Astyanax mexicanus: one gene and its partner. The main gene of each other region encodes a partner of the protein of the gene in region 2 in a complex. Links are inferred from orthologs where the notes say so. Each region holds a gene or a part of one and is shown on either strand. Other genes may lie near its edges.

Evidence for each region. The genes of interacting proteins can lie anywhere in the genome.
Region 1: TATA-box-binding protein (region 2) and taf10 share a complex: the UniProt entries of both Homo sapiens proteins name them as parts of the TFIID basal transcription factor complex. The link is inferred for Astyanax mexicanus from reciprocal best matches to the Homo sapiens genes TBP and TAF10.

Annotation. Positions count from the first base shown.
Region 1 is NC_064419.1:42,554,120-42,561,253, forward strand, and holds the start of taf10 (transcription initiation factor TFIID subunit 10), read right to left. Parts: upstream 3,101-7,134; 5' UTR 2,850-3,100; coding exon 2,699-2,849; exon of another isoform or gene 2,552-2,698; intron 1,594-2,551; exon of another isoform or gene 1,430-1,593; intron 942-1,429; coding exon 784-941; intron 522-783; coding exon 457-521; intron 1-456. UniProt on the Homo sapiens protein: The TFIID basal transcription factor complex plays a major role in the initiation of RNA polymerase II (Pol II)-dependent transcription.
Region 2 is NC_064414.1:38,658,867-38,666,787, forward strand, and holds the start of TATA-box-binding protein, read left to right. Parts: upstream 1-4,889; 5' UTR 4,890-5,039; intron 5,040-7,017; 5' UTR 7,018-7,098; coding exon 7,099-7,152; intron 7,153-7,530; coding exon 7,531-7,868; intron 7,869-7,921. Other genes in the region: zgc:153169 (N(4)-(Beta-N-acetylglucosaminyl)-L-asparaginase), read right to left, coding at 1-34, 370-437, 614-629, 801-889, 1,570-1,608, 2,044-2,089, 2,191-2,347, 2,598-2,736 and 1 more. UniProt on the Homo sapiens protein: The TFIID basal transcription factor complex plays a major role in the initiation of RNA polymerase II (Pol II)-dependent transcription.

The DNA of each region.
Region 1 (7,134 bases), on a different chromosome or scaffold from region 2:
AAATAGCATCTGAGACTAGATTAAAGTTCATTTGTGCCACTTCTCCCTCAAATTATACACAGCTCTATCCCAAATGAGACCTTTTCTTGTGGGAGATGCTATTTTTCTATTTGCTCTGTATGATGGAATGGAGTTAGTCTGAAGCCATGTAGAAATTAAACCCAGTCTTCGACTATATAGGATTTTAACAGGAAATGCTATATAGTCAGGAAATGCATTCCAAAACTAGGCCTAATCTTCTTCTGAGCCCCGACCCTGTGAGACAATTACCTGGACCAGGATTAAGCCTAGCCTAGACTAGACTATATTCTCCTTTTAATGGACAAGTACAGTGTAGTCTATGACTAGGCCTAATCCCTGACTAAGAAATTGTGCCATAATGTTTCACAAAATTACTCTCTAAAACAAGTTTAACAATCAACTTATTTATACAGAGTACAAAAAAATGACACTTACATTCTCGGATCTGATGCTTCAAAGCCAGCCCGGTTGAGATAATAACCGGTAACAGCATCTGGAATCTAATGGAAAAGAGATTTATTCAATTAAACACATAACCGTAAATTACGTAAGAGTCTGGGAACACCCAACATTAACATGTGTTTCTGGTGATCGGATTGCGTATAGATTTTACAGATGCATTTAAATGGATGTGTTAACAAAATCCATTCAAAGTATATCTAGATGCTCTCTAAATTTAAATAATCTGTTAATTTCAGGTCAACACAGGTCCCAAGATACAATAGCTGTTATGGAACACAAGTGTAAAATTGTGTAACTCACTGTAGGAGTGTAATCTTCCAGCTGCATCAGGAAATCAGCCAGTGGTGTGGTTGATACTACGGGCTTCACGTCTCCATTGGCTATTCCTGTGGGCACGTAGAGTCCGTTGGAGACCGAAGAGTCTGAGGATGGTGTTGCCATTGCAGCTGAGGTCGGCACTGTTTAAAGAAAGAGAAAGAATGACATTTAATTGCATATATATGCAAGTATAAAGATGTCTCAAATAAACACAGTAGGTTGAGCTACTCTAACCTGAACCTAAAGGTGTGAACACACATAGTTAGTCCTTGTAGAAAGTTTTTGCCAATGATACTGAAATCATTGGGGCAGAATACATAAACTTACTGGAACCAGATACCAATGTATTCAGACACTGTCTCCTGATTTAAACATACACATTTAATATGCATTTATATTAACACCAGCACTTTAAAACAAAAGATTGGTTTACGTAAATAAGATGTCTAAAATCAATTTAGTGGGCTGTTATATTAAGAGCTGCTGGAGTCATTACCCACACTCTGATAATGTTGCATTTTGTCTCTTTTCCATAAATCCAGTCAGAATTAATTCCGTCATTTAGCTTCCCTTGACTTATTTACTGCCCACCTGTCTGGCCCGACAATGATGGATATTTGACCATCAGGTTCTTCTGTTACCTGTCCGACCAGACTGATGGAAGTCTCCGGATGCCAGGTTTTCCAGTCACCCACAACAGATCAGCTGCTCACCATCCACTTTATGCCAACAGCCTCTGACTAGTTGCTCACTCTCCACTACAGATTACATAGAAGTTTACATGAACTCCAGGTAGGAATCTTCTAACTGCTCCCACTGCTGCTGAGGCTATTTACCTGAATACACTAGACGTATGTGGATGTATAATGACTTTTAACATAATTTGAAAGTTGTTAGATAAATGTAAGAACCCTCTATATTTTTATGAATTTAGGAATTTTCTCTATTTACAAATAGGCCTGTCACAATAATATTTTTTTGCAAACAATATGTTGTCCCAGAAATTATTGCTATAAATTCTATTTTTGGCATTTTAAGACCATTAAATGGCACTAATATAATGATAACATAATATCATATCAAAGGAATTGCACCCTTTTAAAGACAATAAACTTTACATTTCTGTTGACAGACCTAATTTTGGAACCCAAAAAGTTCCCAAAGTAGATTATAGTCATAAATGATATATGTAAATATACACCATGATGTGTAGCCCCGGTCTGTCCCAGCTGGCCCACGTTGGACCAGCACAAAGCCTCAGCTTTCACACGAGAGATACTCTGACGGTGAGAGGAAGGCTGAGGCAACACAAACCTAAGAGACACTGAAGTTAATTGACTAGAGCCGCACTGGACCGTAAGTATGTTTGTTTTGGGTGTTGATTTTTTCATTTTTCCTAATAAAAAGTATGTTTTTAGATTACGCCCACAGTCACAATATATGTAAGTGTCTCTTGTAAGTGCAAACACAATGGAAGACAACACAATGGATCACGATTATTAAAATAATTGAGCTTATGTTCAATTATTGAACATGTCGATAATGTAATTATTGTGACAGGCCTATTTACGAGTTAAAGAACTACCACTATTTATAAATTTATAAATAATACTATTCATGAAGTTAAGGTGGCAGTGAAATTAATGGTTTTAGTTTTTTTGTTGTTGTTAAGTTAGATTTTTTTTCCCATGTTACAAACAAACGTTTCCAAGCCTACTTAAACCTCTATCTAAATATTTTTTTTTTCTAGCCAAGAAAAACTTTATTATAAGACGCAGCAGAGCCGCCGGGGAAAGTAAAAACCCCGGGGTTGATTACTGGGTCCCCGGCCTGGACTGGCCGCCGCTGTATTAGAGCGCGGTTAACCCGGGCTGGTTAACGCTGGTGATCCACTCACCGTTCCCGCCGGACGCGGAGGGGATGCCGCTGCCGCCGCTGTTCGCTGTGGAGTTGCTGTTGGGGAGGCAGTTGCTGCTGCTGCTGCCTCCGGATGCGGAGGAGTTCGCCGCCGCTCCGCTGGAGACGGGCTGGGGGGTGTCGACGTTCATGTCGGGCAGAGACCCGGACAGCTCCCGCTACCTGCTACCAGCTCCTAATAGCGCTTTAAAACAGCCCCGGAACCGCCTTAAACACAGCGAGAGCGTTTTAAACGGGTTTTAAACTCTCTCTGTGGTTAAAATAGTAAAATCTGCAGATTTAATACCCAATAAAACTCGATATTTCAGCCCGAATCCTCCCGCTGTGTTTATCTGCGTCTCAACACAACAGCAGCGAGACTGCGACCATTACCGGAAACTCTACAAAATAAAAGTCTGTATCAGGCCTGCTGTTTTTGTGCGCTGTACAGCCATATCAAAATAAAAGTCCTTAAGCGACTAATTCTGAGCGTGTTTAAAAACAAAATGAAAAAAAAAAGAAACGAAAGAAATAGTATAGGATTTAGGAGTGGGCGATATGGCCCTAAAATAATATCGCGAAAGGTTTTTTTTTGCGATAGCGATATTCTTGACGATATTGCAAAACGTTTGTACCTTTATAGGCTTTTTTTCTACTGAAATTAATTTCATTAATTAATTTGATTTTGTAAAAATTATAGTGTGACAAAATAACTAATGTAATAAAATAATGTAATATCAAAAATAACAACAAAAATAGTGCAACATATTCATGCATATAAACTGCAAACTAATAAAACGTAAATACAGTAAATAACAAAAACAAAATAGATTGCTAAAAAATCTCATTATTAGGAGATATTAAATAATTATCTTTATTCTGCGATACTAAGTTTTTATTTTGAGAGGCCGAGTCGTTATTCTGAGATACTGAGGCGTTATTCAGAGATACTAAGTAGTTATTTTGATATACTAATTCGTTATTTTGAAATACTAAGTCATTTTGAGATAAGTGGTTATTTGAAGATGTTGACTTACTATCTCAAAGTCATAAGAAAAAAATATACGTGATGGATTTTTAGGTGGTGGGAATGGGCTTCTATTGACTACTAATGTTACCTAGATTTGACATTTCTAAAATAAAATAACCTTGAATTTTCTATCTCAACAAAAAGAAAAAAATTAGTAAATATTTAGTGATCAAATTAAAAAAAAGTACAGTAATACAATAATATAGCAATTGTGGAAGGCCTGACCCAACAGTGTAACTAAACTTATAATTAATTTCCATATAGGCTTAATACAAATAACACTACATATTTGTGTTGGAGGTTTTTTATAATAAATGGATTTATTTTGACCAGACACCTCTAATTAGAAACTGCCCTTTATAAAGCATATGGGAAGTCAATCACCATAACATTTCAAACACAACAAACACATAACAGACTTTAAAATGCTTTTATTGCCATAATTATAAAAAAAAATAACTACATACATGAGCCACTTAATAATCAGAAGCCTACATTAGGATGAAACAACACCACCAGCTGATGCAGACAGGAATATACAGGTAGAGATGGCACAAGAATATAAAATCATGTTCAATTTTTTTTTGGAATGAGAATGTTAAAAAGCTGCATCAACGAAAAAACGGCAATAAATCACAGCTACTTTTTATTATTATTTTTGCTTTCAGTATTTTCAAGATCTTACAGTTTTGGCCTGAAGAATTTTGTATCAAGTGCAAAAATGTTTCATCCTTGTGTTGCATAATTACACTGCACAAAAATCTGACTAGGAACTTAATATTACTGCCATCTGAAGACATTTCAATAGACTGAGTTTTTGTTTAAGACCACTGGTAGAACAAAAAAAATACAGAACACACATTTCCTAACCAGTTTGCTGTTACCCTAGCCAGTTTATTTGTTTATCATGAGTCAACCAAAAAACAGAACAATAATGTGAAGTGATGGGATGTTCCAAAAGACTGAGCTGAAGTGTTGATAGGTCACACACTTAAAATCTTGATGAACTGTTTAAACATCACTGAAACATTTGGCACAATGCTGAACATAAAACACAAAAAGATAGAAAAAATATATGAATGAAAAAACACAAAACATGTCAAGGAACATTTCAGAATCCCTGCAAACGCTGGAGTAATAAAACTGAGTGTAATTGGCCCTTTACTGTAGTATGTGCCAACAATGTTAAACACCTTTATAAAGGAGGCCTAAAACATGAGCTAGACATTATTTTAATGGGAGTTTATTCCATTAAATAGAACATAAAAAAAAAGATTTATTCTAAAGATCTATTCTGGGACATCCATTACCTCCATCCATTTAGAGCTGCTGGTAAATGCTGTCAACATCTACTTAAATTTCCAGTCTCTATCATTCAGTATTACTGGTAGAAACTCTCCAATCAGAAAAGAGCTTTAAATAGAAGCATTTCATAGTTCTACTAATGCATGACATCTGAATTAGTATATCAGCAGTGCTGTCAGAACAAAACCTTCTATCTCCAAAATTAACCTTTATTTCAAGAAAAATAAGAAAAATGTGACTCAACATGGAAGTTAAAGCAATATGGTGTAATTTCAAGTAATTCTGGACAATTGGTCACAAACGATTCATCACAAACAGATAATCACACGATGTAAAGAGCAGCTGGAGATACAAGGTTTTGTCCCAAGCGCTTCGATGCATGGCTTGCATTATTTGTACCTTGTTTCAATGCAATTATAGGCCTCGTTTACATTTAAAAAGGTGGTGTTTCCATTATTTTGAAATTAATTATTCATCACTACAGCTCAAAAGATTAAACGGTCCATAAAAATGACATGAAAGGAATGGACAAAAAGGAGATAAAGGGAAAGATCAGGACTGTTAAACTGATTCATGCATGTATTATTATTTTTTTTCCCCTGCATTTTCACAAAACAATCAGACGGGTTGCCAGAGACTCCAAATACACTGTACTGGACGCGTTTTATGAAGACAAGTCTACGCAGGATGTACACAGGATGCATAGCAATATCATCCATAAACAGTTTACAAAAAAAAAAAACCACCCACACAGAATTTATTACAGAATACAGTTTATATATATACGGATCAGCCGACCTCCACAACCACAGTCCTACAGGGACATATGTGACACATACGTGGACGTCTGGAGCACGTCTCAAAAAAATAAGCTCGATATCTGTTCACAAGACCCCTCACCATACAAAACTAAACGCATCTGAAAGTTATTCCATGAAAAAATATTCTATTCTTCTTTATACATTTCGTAGATACCTGGACTGCTGTGTGCTGCCGAACCACTCCACTGGAAGCTCAAACCCAACTGAACTGTTTCTCCAAAAAATGAAGCTAAACTGTGTTTGTTGTATTTAAATTACTGTACTTTTTCTTGATTAGTCTGTTGCATCTCCTGAATTACATGTATTTGCTTACGAGAAAATCGTAAGCAAATAAAAAAGGGGCTAAGATGGTTCTTTGAGGAATATCAGAGACTAAAATTATTCCATTCCAAAAAAAAAAATAAAATAAACGTGTTAAAAACCTTTTAAGATTATTTTTAATCAATTTAAACTTTTTAAAAGGTTCCTGAGGTGTCCTATCTTATCTGCAAAGGGTTGGTATGGCTGCAGGCTTCAATTTAAGCTTGTTTAGCACCAAATTGTCCTTCAGATAAGGGTTAGTTTTGTGTGTGTGTGTGTCTGTGTGTGTTTGCTGCAGTCCTCTACTTTGCTCAGCCTCGCTCTGCCTCCAGTCTGGTTACATCAGATGATCGCAGTCTGCTGTGTTAAGAACTCCCCCTGCTGTTGCATGTAGGTAATGCATTTTGAGTTTCACATTACCCAAGGCGTTACTGCAGCTCTTTCAATGTGTTTATCATATTCACTCATATTGTGATGTTGATAAAAATGCGATTTTTCTAGTGAAGACTGACCAGCTGCTGGTTATTTGGAATTAAACCTGCAGCCACACTAGCCCACTATGAAGAAAATGGAACACTGCTGAAGTACAGCATCTTACAGCATTTTACAAGTAATACTCTAAAGGGAAATTTAGATTTGAGCAGCCAAAACCTGAATCCTTTCAGCCACAACACGATTAACATTTAAGAGAAGCGTCACTGCTGGCAGCGAGGACACTGAAGCGCTAATGCAGCTGAATTAAGGAGGTGGGTTTTAAACCCCAGGAGCACGCCCATGTCTCTTAATACCCCTCCTATCCCATCATCAGCATCTCAGTGTTACAGGTTTTACAGACACACAAACACAAAACACACACTACACATACACACACACACACACACACACACACACACACACGGGGAAGCACTTGGCATATATATGGCATATATATATGTATATATGCCAAAAAATTACCAAAATATGCAGCATATTACCAAAAAC
Region 2 (7,921 bases):
GGACAGAAGTACAGGCTTCTTGTGGAGATGAGCCCTTGAAAGGAAGAATGAAAAACGGAAACTGTACAGAAACCTCAGCTATTGTGTGCATTTTACACCCTGCTCATTGTTAAGTCAAAACGCCAAAACCATTCATTTACTACTGACCTCAAAGTCTCTACAATACAAAGGTACATTTCTGTTTATGTATATGACAAGTTAAAAAAAAAATCACAGAGAAGACTAAGTACTAAGAGAACAGATCTAAAATCCAAGTAGTTGTCATACTGTAAAAAAATATTGATATCCTAAATAAAATCTTGAAATATCATGATTATATTAAGGCCAAATTGCCCACTTTTACTTAATAATAAATACAGATAAACATACCTGTCTCATTAGCTGTACGACGTGAAAGCTAGGACAGTAGCACATGATTTTGTCCCCATCACCTGTAGCTAACAGAAATAACACCCACAAAATATCAACAGGTCACTAACATCACTTATAACATGTTATAAAGTTCATATGCCTGTATACAGCTTCACCAAAGACTTTAGGCTTTACATAAATCTTTTCAGTGACTAACAGCAAAGTTATTCTTCCTTTAAGGAAACAAACAGAAAATACCAACCTGCTGCAGCACCAACCTAAAACACAGGAAGCAGAATTATATACACATTTCCTCAAGTCTAAAATAGTTATGAAATTTTATGTAAACTTTACAGGAAACTGAATGGAAATTATGTCCTGAAACAGACTGAACTGTCCTGAATGCAGGTTTGTGCACCAGCATAGCAGGGTTATGATAAAGAGCTTACGGTATGGTCAGCATAAAGGCCACTGCCAGGAAGTGGAGAGTCCCCCACTCTCCCTGGAGCTTTGAAGGGTGCTCCTGATGTGGAAACCCCTGTAGTGTAAGCAATAACAAATCAAAAGTGTTATAGGCTTATTAATGTGTTAATATAATGTAGTTTTCTTTGCATGTAAAGATACTGTTTACAATTTGTGTACATTTTTAATTAGAAAATACATTAAATAAAGGATTAAACAAAGAAGTATTTTAAGATCAATCCTAATTTATTTTAACAGTCTTTAGTGAACCCTTCCTTTACTGACATCAAATATGTTAAGTAAGTCATTTACATTAAACCTTAAAATTTATAATTTTACAATTCTTACAAATCATTATTTTGTATGACCTACTTCATATTATAAGCTCTCTAAACAAACAGAGTAATGCAGCCTATTTAAAGCAGCACTGAAAATGGGCATTTCTTGCTCCTGGGCTCCCAGTGTAACTGGAGCTTTGAGCCAACACTAGAGGACACATTTTTCTGGACACGCTGAGAGATACAGAACCATGACAGAAATTTTACACAAATGTGATTTGGGTTACAGATTGTTTAGATATCCCATTGGCAGTGTGCTAAGCCATGTGCTAAGTAGCAATGATGGAGACAAATTTCTACTTATTTCATGTCAGTGGAGCATTGTAAGATTTTAAAGCTATTTATTAGTAAAATGCTACATAATGTTGCTTTACACTGCAGAAACAAACACATCAAAATGAAAGAAAGTCTTCCTCACCAACAGTAATGTTTCCTGAAAGATCCAGAGCAATGAGGCCTTGCCATTAAAAAAAACACAAGATAAATGCCTTTATCTTACATGACTCTTATAGATTTAATATATCATCATAACTCTTTTCTACTTTCAGTTTTGTGTATCAAAATGAATGTAAAACCTATTGTAATCCAGTTTGCAGTTTAGGCGTACTCAGGAAATAATCTATCAAAAGTTGTTTGAACTTCTGACAGGAATGAGTGTAGTTATAAAGTAACCAGGCCTTGGACAGATATCTAACTATTTAGACCCAAAAGGATTGGGTAGTAAGTATTACAGTTATTTTAAAAATGATGATATTTGCAGTGTTATGTCAGTGATGTACATTCTATTGGCCTGAGTACTGTAAAAAGACTGAAACTGCTTTCTTTGTGTACCTCACAATTCTACATTTATTCAAAAGAGAGAGATAAGACACTAGCTCAAGTTAATGCTTACCTATAGTATCGTGACCACTAGCATGCTGACCATTTTCAAGGAATTCCTTTTAATGGAATTTAACAAAAAGTTACTGTAAGTTACACTGTTTGTGTGGTGATACCGAAATAAAATGATGTGTAAAAAACTGACACTCAGTGTGAGTACCTGATATGCAGTGAGTGTATGGCTAGAGAGCATACTGTCGTTGGTTTCAATGGTAAAGCCCTGTTCCTGTGCAAACGCTTCAGCTCCTTCACCAACTAGCAAACTGTGAGGACTTCTGTCCATTACTCTTCGTGCCACCCGGCATGGCTGCCCTACTCTGATAACATAAAACATTTAAAATTAAGATTTAGGTTTACTATAATACAACTAAAAAAAAGTATAACAAATAAAACAATTAGCACATCATATAGTGCATTCCATAGTGCATTACAATCACATAACTATTACCCTTTGAATAATCTATACCAGTTAATGCCATTAATGTACCACTAAATACTGCAATATGATATTTTATTACATAAAGCCATTTCACAGTTTAAAATAACATTATCAACATCACCCTTTACCCTCGCAATGCAGCTACTGCCCCAAATCTCCCTGGCACACCTTCCATTATTGCTGCATCACACTCCACTATCCCCCGGCTGTTGGGGAAGCCTCCTCTTCCGACTATGTGACGACCCGTCTCCACATCATTCTCAACATCTGCAAAAAAGTATTGTACACTCCCGGTAAATAGAGTTTCAACAAAGCTTTACTGTTTACTGCTATTCTATTTCTTAACCTCTCACTATATTTCATAAAACAAGTAAAAGAAAAATAAAGAATAAGGCTCCAAAAGGCCAATATAAAAACTTTAAATATAAAGACTTTATAGTCTTTTTTCAGATTGGCTGACCTTAATTTCTTAAAGTTATTTTTTTACTTAGTTGAGTAGTTCTTGCCATATTATGGATTAGAATACTCAAATAGGGCTGTTCTTTACTGTATACCAACTCTACCTTTACATCTTTACAACTGGTGCTCTCAAAAACATTAAGATGGCAAGAATTCCAAGTAATCAACTCAACTGAGAAGGCACAGCTGTTACCTGAAAGCCATTTCAGGTGACTCTACCAAATAAAGCTGACTGAGAAAATGCCAACATGTGCAAAGCTGCCAAATAAGCAAGATGTGCTACTTTGAAGAATCTAAAATATAAAACATATTCTGGTTGGTTTAACACTTTTTTGTGAACTTGTTTTATTTGCATTATTTGAGAACTGAAAGCTCTGCATCTTTTTTGTTATTTCATCCATTTCTAATTTTCTGCAAATAATGCTCTAAATGACAATATTTTTATTTGGAATTTAGAAGAAATGTTGTCCGTAGTTTATAGAATAAAACAATAATGGTTATTTTACTGAAACATATACCTATAAATAGCAAAATAAGAGAGATGATTCAGAAACTGAAGTGGTCTCTTATTTTTTTTTTTCCAGAGCTGTATAACATATCTATAACACAACTGTTTATTCATTGCTTAGAGGAGAAAGTGTTTTAAAACTCATTTTCTAGTGAAAGCACAGTTTTAATGTAGAGGGTTTAATGGTGGTTACCTGCAGCTGCTCTCTCTACTACATCAGTGGCGTTCTGTCCGTCTAGAATCATAGAGCGCATTTTCTCTACAGCGGGCTGAGAGAAGGACCAGGTCCCCATTGCTGCCATCCTGCGGGTCACTGTCAACCCCTGATCAGACTTCACCTCCACAGCAGATGAACGAGCCGTCAGTGAGGAGTTTTAAAATACCTGGTTGATATTTTGAAGTATTACCAGAGAACTTCAATAGAGGAGAATACCCACTTAATCCACAATAACAATCATACATGAGTTTGTTAGACCACATGAGGGCGCTCACAAATGAGCCCAAAATGAATGGCTCCATGGAGTAAATGAGCAAAACCATAGTTAATAAACGTTTGATCACTTTAATACGGAAAACTGTATTATTATTCTCAACACGGAACAATTTAAAATGTTTTAAATACCGAAAAAATGGCTTTAAAGCTTTTAAATATATTTACCATTCAGCTCACAGTGGTAGAAATGCCAGCGTCTCTATTATCTAAACATTTTTTGCTATAGACAAATGGTAATATTTCTTTACTAACGTTTTCTTTACTTTTTTCTTTATTTTTTAGTAATATACTTCATTCTAAGTTCTTAGTTAAGTTCACCCCAACTCACTCGCGGGGTCCTCTAGCGGTTCACAGTAATTTTCTGACATAACGTGGGCGATAGAAACTAAGCAGTCTCGGCATAAACTATCTATCTCTGGTAGTACCGCGTTAGGGAGTTAAGAATCGAGAATTTCAAAATAAAAACTTAATAAAGTCTTAACTAACAAATAAAATCTTTAAAAAATTAATTCGTGTTTTTTTTATTTATTTATCAATATTTTTTTAGAACTCATAAGTAATAAATTACATGTATAGTGATCGATAGAGAGTCGTTCATATTTTAATATTCATGTAAATCTTTGGAGGTTTAAAAAAAAAAACAAGTGAAACTTAACTAAAAATCTTCGTTTTTTTAAACTTCATATTTTATTTTTATTATTGATATTGTTATTATTATTATTCGTATGAGTCGTTTATATTATATGTAATATATATATATATATATATATATATATATATATATATATATATATATATATATATATATATATATATATATATATATTTATAGGCAGTTTTGGGCAGTTAAATTGTCGATTAGAGTAGTTTATATTTTATTTATATTATATATGTTTATTTTTTAGGAGGGGATATATATATTTTTGGGAGTTAAATGGTCGATTAGAGTCGTTTATATCATATTTATATTATGCATTATATATTATTTTTGGGAGGGTGGAGGTTAGTGCTCGTATTATATAAAGCAGCGGAAGTGGTTTGGTAAAGCTGGCGGAACTTGCTGTGAAGTCCCGTGTTTTGCGCGCACCCGGAGACACAGAGAGAGGGGAGGTAAAATCAGACGCGGGTTTAATCTGATTTCTGAGTGTTTTAATGATTAACGGGTGTATTGTAATATTCAGGGTCTCCGGCTGCCCCTTCTGCCGTGCTGATACTGTAGCGGCTGGTTGTTCCAGTGCGGGGGTTAGTGTTGGAGCGACGACAGGCTACAGTTAGCACAGTGAGCTAACCAGCGGTTTCTGCAACCTGGACCCAGCCGAGCCTCCGCTTTATCTAACCGGGGCTGCCTGGAGTCTAACGCGCTGTCCAGCTGCAGTTTGGGCTGCGTGATTAGTGTAGTCTGCGGGTTTATATCGCTGAGTGGTTAATTAATATATGAGCTTTAACTCTGGTTAAAATCAGTAGCTGTATATCCGAACAGCGCCATTCATTCACTGTGACCTGATTTCTGTTCAACAACGCTTCTTACAGGAAAAAAATTCGCTCTTTCTCATTTGCTTTTCATAATTAGCGTTAAATGAATTACACTTAAATTCTGCGAGCTTTAATTCGCTTGTATGTTCATTTAATAAGAAAAAAATAGCTATTGGTTTTGATACGTTTGCAGGTTATTGTAGCTAGTGTGTTTACATTAGCTAAATTATCTAAACATAATTACAGAAATATACGAGCCTCAAGCGTCTCTATTCGTAATATTTTAGCAATAGGAGAAACAATCCAGTTACACACATCTAGCAATAATGAAGTTTTTAACCAGTAGACATAGTAATTCAAGATATCTACACTGAAACTTGCTGATGTGATTTTTAAGACTAAAACAGCTCCCCATACCAAAATAAATGTATTTTTGGATATGATGGAAGGTCCAGTTGTTAGTTGTGGTTGCCTGTCTCTCTCTGCCTCTCTATCTCTCTCGCTCTCTTCACGGGGCTGTGAGATTGTGAGGATGAGTGAGTGTTATTGTGGTAATGTTTGCACTTAGCGGGAGAGTCTGAAAGGAGCTCATTGGTACTCTGTAAACTTCCTGAAACCCACATGAATTTTCTCTGATCTGACACACATTGAATGGATGTGCTTTTAAACAAAGTTGTCTGTTATTTACATTCATTACTCGGGTAGACGTATAGATACTAGGGATACTAGAGAAATATAAACTTGAAGTATCTGTGCCACAGAGTCCTATAGTGCACTACCCCCTCAAACAAATTTATCTATAAAGCAATAATGACTCGTATTAAAATGTTAATGTTGACAAATATGGGATGCATTAGACTGCCTGTTTCATCCACATATATGTCAATTGAAAAAATGAATGCCTTTTAGTATTAAGCTAATATAATAAAGGAGCTTAGGTGGAACATTGTGAGAGCTTGAGTTCTTGCTGGAGTATGACTTGATGTGCAGGTGTGATGGATTGTAAAAAAACAGGATTTCGGAATGTTATGCATGTACTTCTCATCCAGCCACAATCAAATTTACTCTATCCACATGGAGGAATTTACATGGATAGGGTTTTTTGAAAGATGAGAAGCTGAAATAAAAAGCTGAAACTAAGTAGAAGTAATGTTTTTTTTTTTTAATGAAATTGAGAGAGAAAAAAACATACAAAACCACAATGTAAAGGTATTTATTGAAGACAGAACATTTGTAACATCATAGCAAACATACCAACTAAACTCAATATGGTTTGGTATTTATTTGGAAGAAATTATTGGTATATAAAATTCCATTCAGATGCTGCTGGGCACGAGCATTACCATCTACTGTGCTGTTTTCTTTGGGTGAAAATGCCTTCTACGGTGTGTTCCCAGTACACGTGCTGATGTGGATCGAAGAATGTTAAATACCATTACAACGTCATAAATAAAATGTCCCATCCACCTGGCACTAACTATCAGGCCCAGCTTGAACTCTGATAATTATTGTTGCCTTGCCATGTGCATGCTGTGATGCTTTACATTTAATATTTGACTGTGCTGCTTGATCTACTGTCTTCTAACTGCTTTTCTTTTCTTTTTTTGTATAACAGAAAGCTGGACATCTGAACACCATCTCTGCTCACACCTCTGTCTAGATTGTTAATCTGCTGCTGGGTTCATAACTGGACAGCATGGAGCAGAACAACAGCTTGCCCCCGTTTCCACAAAGCCTGTCGTCTCCACAGGTGAACAGATTGCTAACACAGATACCCAGTCTCTGCTCTTGCAGACTTTAGTCTCATAAATAATTCAGAATGAATCACTCTAGTTTTACACACATTGTGGGTCATGTATGGTAGAAAATGTACCTGTTAAGAACTTTTATGAATGTTTTATTAACCCCTTCAAAATGTGAAACTATGCCTTTAAGTTGTGGACTTATAATATTGACTATTTTTTTAACCTTAATGCACAAATTATGTAATTTATATTGCCATCCTCGTAGACATGAGTCATGCAAAAAGTGCCAATTTGAGTTTAGCATTAAAATGTAACTAGTGTAAACACTGGCTTCATCATTCTGAACAAGTCATGCTTTATTATTGATTTCTGTTCATCTGCAGGGTGCTATGACGCCTGGCATGCCCATCTTTAGCCCAATGATGCCGTATGGCACTGGGCTTACACCACAACCAGTGCAGAACACCAACAGTCTGTCACTTCTAGAGGAGCAGCAGATGCAGCAACAACAGCAGCAGCAGCAACAGGCTTCTCAACAGCAGGGTGGAATTGTGGGTACATCAGGCCAGACACCCCAACTTTACCACTCGCAAGCAGTTTCAACCACCACAGTACTACCAGGCAACACCCCACTGTATACCACCACCCCTTTAACCCCCATGACGCCCATTACACCTGCCACACCAGCCTCTGAGAGTTCTGGCATTGTCCCCCAACTACAGTGAGTTCTGTTGTATCACTGATTGATATAGAGATAATGTGCAATGATTTACC